Linked DNA regions of Anolis sagrei. The protein of the gene in region 1 purifies or fractionates together with the protein of each later gene. This does not show direct contact. Links are inferred from orthologs where the notes say so. Each region holds a gene or a part of one and is shown in the gene's direction. Other genes may lie near its edges.

Evidence for each region.
Region 2: the proteins of CORO1A (region 1) and POC1A purify together in Homo sapiens (affinity purification with mass spectrometry; 3 studies listed by BioGRID and IntAct, counting the BioPlex papers as one, with this or other methods). This does not show direct contact. The link is inferred for Anolis sagrei from reciprocal best matches to the Homo sapiens genes CORO1A and POC1A.

What each region holds. Positions count from the first base shown.
Region 1 is NC_090026.1:17,575,755-17,579,505, forward strand, and holds the start of CORO1A (coronin-1A), read left to right. Parts: upstream 1-1,135; 5' UTR 1,136-1,262; intron 1,263-2,283; 5' UTR 2,284-2,288; coding exon 2,289-2,486; intron 2,487-3,751. UniProt on the Homo sapiens protein: May be a crucial component of the cytoskeleton of highly motile cells, functioning both in the invagination of large pieces of plasma membrane, as well as in forming protrusions of the plasma membrane involved in cell locomotion.
Region 2 is NC_090022.1:69,061,235-69,064,985, reverse strand, and holds the start of POC1A (POC1 centriolar protein homolog A), read left to right. Parts: upstream 1-1,566; 5' UTR 1,567-1,725; coding exon 1,726-1,743; intron 1,744-3,751.

The sequences.
Region 1 (3,751 bases):
GAAGAAAGGAGAGAAAGAGGGAGGGAAAGAAAAAGGGAGAAGAAAGAAAGGAGAGAAGGAAAGAAAAAAGGGAAAGAAGGAAGGAAAGAGAGAGCGAAGGAAGGGAAGATGTAGAGAAAGAGGGAAGGAAAGAGGGAAGAAAAGAGACAGCAGAAGAGAAAGAAAAAGGGGGAAGGAAGGAAAGAGATAGAGAAGGAAGGAAGAAGAGAAGGAAAGACGGGAAGGAAGGAAGGAAGGAAGGAGTGAAGGAAGGAGGGAAAGAAGGAGAGAAAGAGGGAAGGTTGGCCACAGCAACGCGTGGCGGGTACAGCTAGTATAGAATAGATTCATAGAGTTAGAAGAGGCCACAAGGGCCACCCAGTCCAACCCCCTGCTACGCAGGAATACACCATCCAAGCATTCCTGACAGATGACCATCCAGCCTCTGCTTTTAAAAGGCCTTCTAAGAAGGAGAGTCCATCATACTCCAAGACAGCATATTCCACTGCCAAACAGTTCTTACCATCAGGAATGTATAAGGTGTATATGAAACATACATTAATTTTGTGTATAACTTGGATCTCATCTCCAAGACTTCTCATTTGGGACATGTACACTTCTGATCTCCTGCATTTCAGATAAAGGATACCTAGAATCTTGAGGGATGCTTATCTTTACCAATGCTAACTAGATGGGTGATTAGAAAGCAAAAAGGTTACTGAGATTTGGGCAGAAGTGAAGGGATCTGTGTGAATTGCAGGCATGGGCAAACTTGGGCCCTCCAGGTGTTTTGGACTCCAAGACCCACCATTCCTAACAGCCAGGAGCTCCTGCCTTAAGTGGCTGAGGGGAGAAAGGAAAGGGCCCGAGGCTGTTAGGAATTGTGGGAGTTGAAGCCCAAAACACCTGGAGGGCCCAAGTTTGCCCATGGTGTATTGGAAGGAAGCTTGCTCCTTTGCCAAACATGGGTCCCTTTTCTCTCAAAATATTGGGTGGAGATACCTTGTGTGACTGTCTTTTGCACAGATACGCCAGCACTTCTCCATAAGGACAGAGAAGGTATACTGGGAAGAAACAAGAGAAGCGAGATGGAGAAAAAGTCCTGGAGATGGGTGCCAAGAGATGGAGATGCAAGCAGGGGCTGTGCGCTCCCGGCATGCTGGCCCTTTAAGAGACCAGCCCTCCCAGCTCTGACAGTTCCCAGGGCGATGGCTCTGTTAAAAAGCTCTGAGCCGCTGCATCTTCAATTCATTGTGTGCCCACATCCGCTACAGAGGCTGCAGGTGAGAGCTCAGGGTTGGGGGCTAAAGGGAGAGGGGCTTTGGGTTGGGGAGAGGGCAGTGCCAACGCATAGCTGTGGGGATGCTGACTGGCAAAGCGGTGAGAGTGTGGGTCATTTTTGTCCTTTTAATGTGCAAAGCTTTGCATGGTGATGTTCTGCAGAATCCAGAAATGTGGATCGTGCAACTTATATGATCATTTGAGACCCTGGGAAACTACCCCCCCCCCCCCCCAAATCCTGTGGTTCATTCCATTTTTGGAGATTGCATGGTCCTGCTGAATTGAGAATTAGGGATTCATTTCTTCTCAGGTCAGTGGCTAGAAGCCCTTTGGATGCATGTCTATGAATTGCCTTGCTAATATGGAAGAGTGTCGAATTTGGGACTGATGCAACTACTCATCAAATCATAAAGTGAAGAAAGTGGTTGTGGGCAATTTTTACCCCAGGATTTTATTTCTCCTCATACGATTTGCAAGGATCAAATAGAACACTATCCATGCAATTCGGAGCTCCTGGCATGAGGGTTTAGTGGATACATTTTCCCATCCTGTTCCAGTGTTTGGCTTGACTCTGTTGGAGAGCCATCTTAACTATTTTGATAGGTTGAGGCTTACTTACAAGGATGAAAACCCTGTTGAACCTTATGGAGACTATATCAGAATTAGATAGCACAGGATGGGGCATCATGTAGTTCATTGCAGACTTGGAGGCATCTTTGGGATGGGTTGGCTGGTAAGCTCATATGACACTCTCTTCATTCTTTTTCCTCAATGGCTGTAAGATAATGTCTTAGCCTGGATAGCAATGGAGCTCAAGAATGTGGTGTAGCTGAGAAAGCTGGTGGCATGTTCGTAGCTTAAAAAAAAGCTAAAGCCAGAGTTTTCCCATAGAAAAGTTCTGTTGAGGTACAGAGACAGAACTGTGGTTGAGATAGTGAGTTGGGACTAAGGGCTGGCCCATCTCTGTGATCAAATCCCCCCAACAGCAACTCTGTGACCCTCTGCACATTAACTCTTTTGCAGGAACCATGAGCCGTAAAGTCGTGAGGTCCAGCAAGTTCCGCCATGTTTACGGACAGCCAGCCAAGGCTGACCAGTGCTACGACGACATCCGTGTCTCTCAGATGACCTGGGATGGGAATTTCTGCTCTGTCAACCCCAAATTCCTGGCCATTGTCGTGGAGGCCAGTGGCGGAGGAGCCTTCTTAGTCTTGCCGTTAGCTAAGGTACCTGAGAACCCCTTAAAAAACGATACCCCTAGTGCTTTTCCAACCACCCAGTAATTAATTAATTCTTCATTTCCTCAATGTTATTTTGCCTATTCAACTCCAAATTATAATTACATGTATTAGCCCTGCCCAACCTCCCCCCCCCCCCCCCCAAACTGTGTTTCCGGGGAACGGAAGATGATGATAGGGAGGAGGAACCAAAGACTTGTGAAACTGCCGAAACGACAGATCTTTTTTGGCAGGTTCTTTTTTGCCTTAAATGGCCCGAAGTGTGAACCTGCTGCGGAAATAGGGCCTTGAGAAAGAGGAAGTGGGTTAGTGGGTTTGGTGCAGGCAGAGCGGGAAGGAAACGAGGAGAGGGGTTGGTAACACAAGTTCTTGCTTTGCTTTGTGTGTTGGCTCCAGTTCCATGTTCACCTAAGTTTATTTGACCCCACAATTGAGATGCCAAAGAACCCATGGCCTTTGACTCTCAGATACATAATTTATGCTCTCACCCATCCATGAAAAAAAATCCCAGAAATTATTAATCTGTGAATTCCATATTCCTCCACGTTTCATATCCTGTTCAGAGGTTGGGGAAATAGCTTGTTAGGCCGTAATGCGTGGATTCTCCCAATCAGGTCTAGGAGATTCTGGGTCCTGCAGCCCAAGAGGTTCATTTTGAATTCTTATACAGGTCTTTTATTGAAATGCTCTGGGTTGTGTTCCCATTGTACAGCAGAACCCAGTCCTTGCTTCCCCTACTTTTTGTGATTCATTCCTAGGCTCAGTTTTCCTCCCACTTTCGCTGAGTTGTTTCTGGGTCTTTTGTCTATTTGAGGCCTTGACAGGTCCACGGTTTGGTCCACAGTACAATTGTACTTTTCAAAGATTTGAAAAAGAACCTGGTTACATAGGGCATGATGTACTGTGGGTCCATTATTTCTTTCTATGGCTACTAAGTTTAGAGATTTGAATTAAAGCTGGGCCTGTTTCACCCAATTTCCTCCACAAAGATCTTGTGCTTGCCCCTAGGATATGTCTCATGATTCCAGCGTGATGTGGGAACGAGGGACACATTCATGCTCTTCAGAGAAAGCCTAACACAGAGCAGAGCTGCGGCAGCGGGGGGAGTCAGAGGGAAAAACCACATGAGTTTTGTTTCTAGCACTCTTGCTGGGAAAACAGCCCCAAGTGCCTTTCCCCAGCCAGGCAAATGGCCCTTGTTTTTGACCTTTTGTCCTTATTTTCTTACTGGGCCTTTGCCCAGGTTGCGGTTC
Region 2 (3,751 bases), on another chromosome or scaffold:
GCGTTCCGTATATTCATTTTCATCTAGTTATGCTCCAGGTGAAAAAGCTTGCTTAACCATTTTGCAGAATGTTAGATGGGAGGGAGCTGATCTTATATCCCTGGGAAGGGTGTTCCATAGCCGAGGGGCCACCACCAAGAAGGCCCTGTCTCGTCCCCACCAAACGCATCTGTGAGGAAGGCAGGATCGAGAGCAGGGCCTCCCCAGACGATCTTAAAGCCCTATGGTTTATAAGGAGAGATACATTCGGATAGGTAAGCAGGCAAAAAACCCAGAAAAACTTCCTTGTACTTCAGATATTAAAGTAAAGGTAAAGGTTTCCCCTTGACATTAAGCCTAGTCGTGTCAGACTCTGCGGGGTGGTGCTCATCTCCATTTCTAAGCCGAAGAGCCGGCTTTGTCCATAGACGCCTCCAAGGTCATGCAGCCAGCATGACTGCATGGAGCACCGTTACCTTCCCACAGATCTCACATTTGCATGTTTTCGAACTGTTAGGTTGGCAGAAGCAGGGGCTATCAGTGGGAGCTCACCCCGCTCCCCGTTAACCTTTTGGTCAGCAAGTTTAGCAGCTCAGCAGTTTAACCCACTGCGCAGATACTATGCAACCATTAAAAAAGAAAAGAAAAAGAAGCAAAAAAAAATCAGACGCAAACACCAAAAACCTGCTTTACCATCAATATTTTTTTCCTTACCCCCTTCATGGATTATGTTTAAAATGAAAATACCAAGAAGTGTAATCGTGAAGGTCTTAAGGGAATACACAGAAACCAGCTATTTTCAATGATTCCAACCACGAGAGCCTTCAACAACACAAACCAGCAAATGCCAACACAAATATACAAAAAAGAAAGAAAAAAAAACATTCAGAGTCAGTCCCACCGAGGCTCCTTCCACACAGCCATATAACTCAGAATATCAAGGTAGATAATCCCCAATATCTGGTTTGAACTGGGTTATCTGAGTCCACACTCACATAAGGTGGGATTTTCTGCCTTGATATTCTAGGATATAGGGCTGTGTGGAAGGGCCCAGAGGCTCCTTCCACAGACATATAACCCAGAATATCAAGGCAGATAATCCACAATATCTACTTTGAACTGGGTTATCTGAGTCCACACTGCCATACAACCCAGTTCAGAGCAAGTAATATAGGATTTTGTATAGCTGTGTGAAAGGGGCCTAGAGGCTCCTTCTGCACTGCCATATAATCCAGATTATCAAAGCAGAAAATCCATAACGTTTGTTTTGAACTGGATTTTATGAGTGTACACTTCTATATAATCCAGCTCAAAGAAGATAATCTAGATTGTATATGGCAGTGTTGAAGGGGCCTCAGTGGCTGAGGGGGGAAAGGAAGGGGCCTGAGGCTGTGAGGAATGGTGGGAGTTGAAGTCCAAAACCCCTGGAGGGCCCAAGTTTGCTCATATCTGCTTTCTTGTATTTGGAAATTTCTCAATCATGATGAGAAAAGGCGTCCTGGGCATACTTTCCAAGAACAGGAAGTCGCCCCCACTTCCCTCCCTCCCTCGCTTCCTGCCGGATTCCCTCTCTTCTTCCCGCGCTTTTCTTTTCTTGTCGGAGGGCAACATTTCTGGCCTTCCCCGCCGCCTCCCCTTTAAGCGCAGGACGCCGTTACTAAGGCGGAGGGCAGGGCGCGCAAACTGAATCCGTCCGGCGGCAACAATCGCGGCGAGGCTTCGTTCCGCTGGGACTCTTTCGGCAACATGGCGTTTTCTTGCTTGGTAAGGGCAGAAGGGGGGAAACGGGGGAAGGAGAAGCTGGCCCCACTGGCAACAGGGCTTGGAAATGGCAAGGCAGGGGAGTGGAGTGGGAGAAGAGCCGGGGGGAGGCCTGACTAAGTCCCTCCCCTTTGCTGCCTGGGAGTTGTAACTTCTCAGGCCCCTTCCACACATGATCTGCTTTGAGCTGGAATATATAGCAGTGTGGACTCAGATAACCCAGTTCAAAGCAGATATTGTGGGATTTTCTGCCTTGATATTCTGGATTATATGGCTGTGTGGAAGGGCCCTCACAGAGGAGGAAGAGAGGTGCAAGGGAGAACCAGAGAGTCATTTGGAAAGGAAGAGTTTATTAGTTTGGGAAACATACCTTTCACATGTATTTATATCCCGCATTCTCTATCTCAAAAGAGACTCGGTGCCCTTCCACACAGCCATAAAACCCAGAATATAAAGGCAGAAAATCCCACATTAAGTGTGGACACAGATAACCCAGTTCAACTATGTGCTATGCTAATAATATAATATTTATAATTTTTTTTGTCGTGTCAGGAGCGACTTGAGAGACTGCAAGTCGCTTCTGGTGTGAGAGAATTGGCCATCTGCAAGGGCCAATTCTCTCACACCAGGGTTGGCTTGACACGCCTTCCTATTGGCACCCTCCATAGGTGCCTCTTCAAATTCCACGGCATTGCTGGTCACAACTGACCTCCAGTTAGAATGCTCAGGGGCCAGGGCTTCTCAGTTCTCGGTGTCTATGCCACAGTTTTTAAGGTTAGCTTTAAGCCCATCTTTAAATCTCTTTTCCTATCCACCAACATTTATTTATTTATATATATACACCGCTTTTCTCAGCCCTCAGGCAACTCAAAGTGGTGAACTACATCAATACAAAACATCACGAGACAAGTATAGGGCAATTAAAAACAATTGTAACATAAATCATTAAACATCCGTATAACAATCATTAGCGCCTCAACAGTAAAATCGGAATCCAGTCTCGTTATCCATTATTCCGTATTCCTATGTTCAATTATACTGTTTAATCAAATGCTTGTTCGAACAGCTCCTCCGAAACCCCAGCAGGAAGGGGGCCAATCTGATATCTGCAGTCAGGGCATTCCACAGCCGAGGGGCCACCACTGAGAAGGCCCTGTCTCTTGTCCCTGCCAAGCGCACCTGTGATGCAGGCGGGACAGAGTGCAGGGCCTCTCCAGATGATCTTAGTGTCCTAGCCGGTTCATAGGAGGAGATGCGTTCGGAGAGGTAAGTAGGGCCAGAACCGTTTAGGGCTTTCTGTTTTCTGTTCTTGAATTGGGAGTATAGAAGCTGCTTCAGGCATTCGGACAATGTAGCTAGTCCAGCTGAGTTGATGGAAAAAGGACCATCTCTTCAATGCTGGTGGTCTTTGTTTCTTCCAGCACACTGGCATTTGTCCACCTGCCTTCCCAAGAGATTTGCATGATTTTTCAGAGGCAATGCTGATGGACTTGTTCCAGGAGTTGAGTGTGACTTCTGTAGACAGTCCACATTTTGCAGGCATATAACAGGGTTGGGAGGACAATAACTTTATAAATAAACACCTTGGTCTCCCTACGGATGTTCCGATCCTCTAACACTCTCTGCTTCATTAGGAAAAATGCTGCACTCACAGAGCTCAGGCGGTGTTGTATTTCAGTGTCAATGCTGACGTTTGTGCAGAGGTGGCTGTCAAGGTAGCAGAAATGGTCAAAGTAGATATTGTGCGATTTTATTCAGCTGTGCGGAAGAGGCCTAATCAAAGCATCCAAAACGCAGTCCTCTCCTTTCTCTTTAGTATTAAGTTCAGCTAACTTTTTCTCATAGTTTTCTTAGCTGACCAACGTAATGTGCAGGCCTCTTTGAAGGCCAGAATAGAAATAAATACTCAGGCCTCTGCCACACAGCTGTATAAAATCCACACTGAACTGGCAGTGTACACTCAGATAACCCAGGGCCCTTTCACACAGCCATATAGCCCAGAACATCAAGG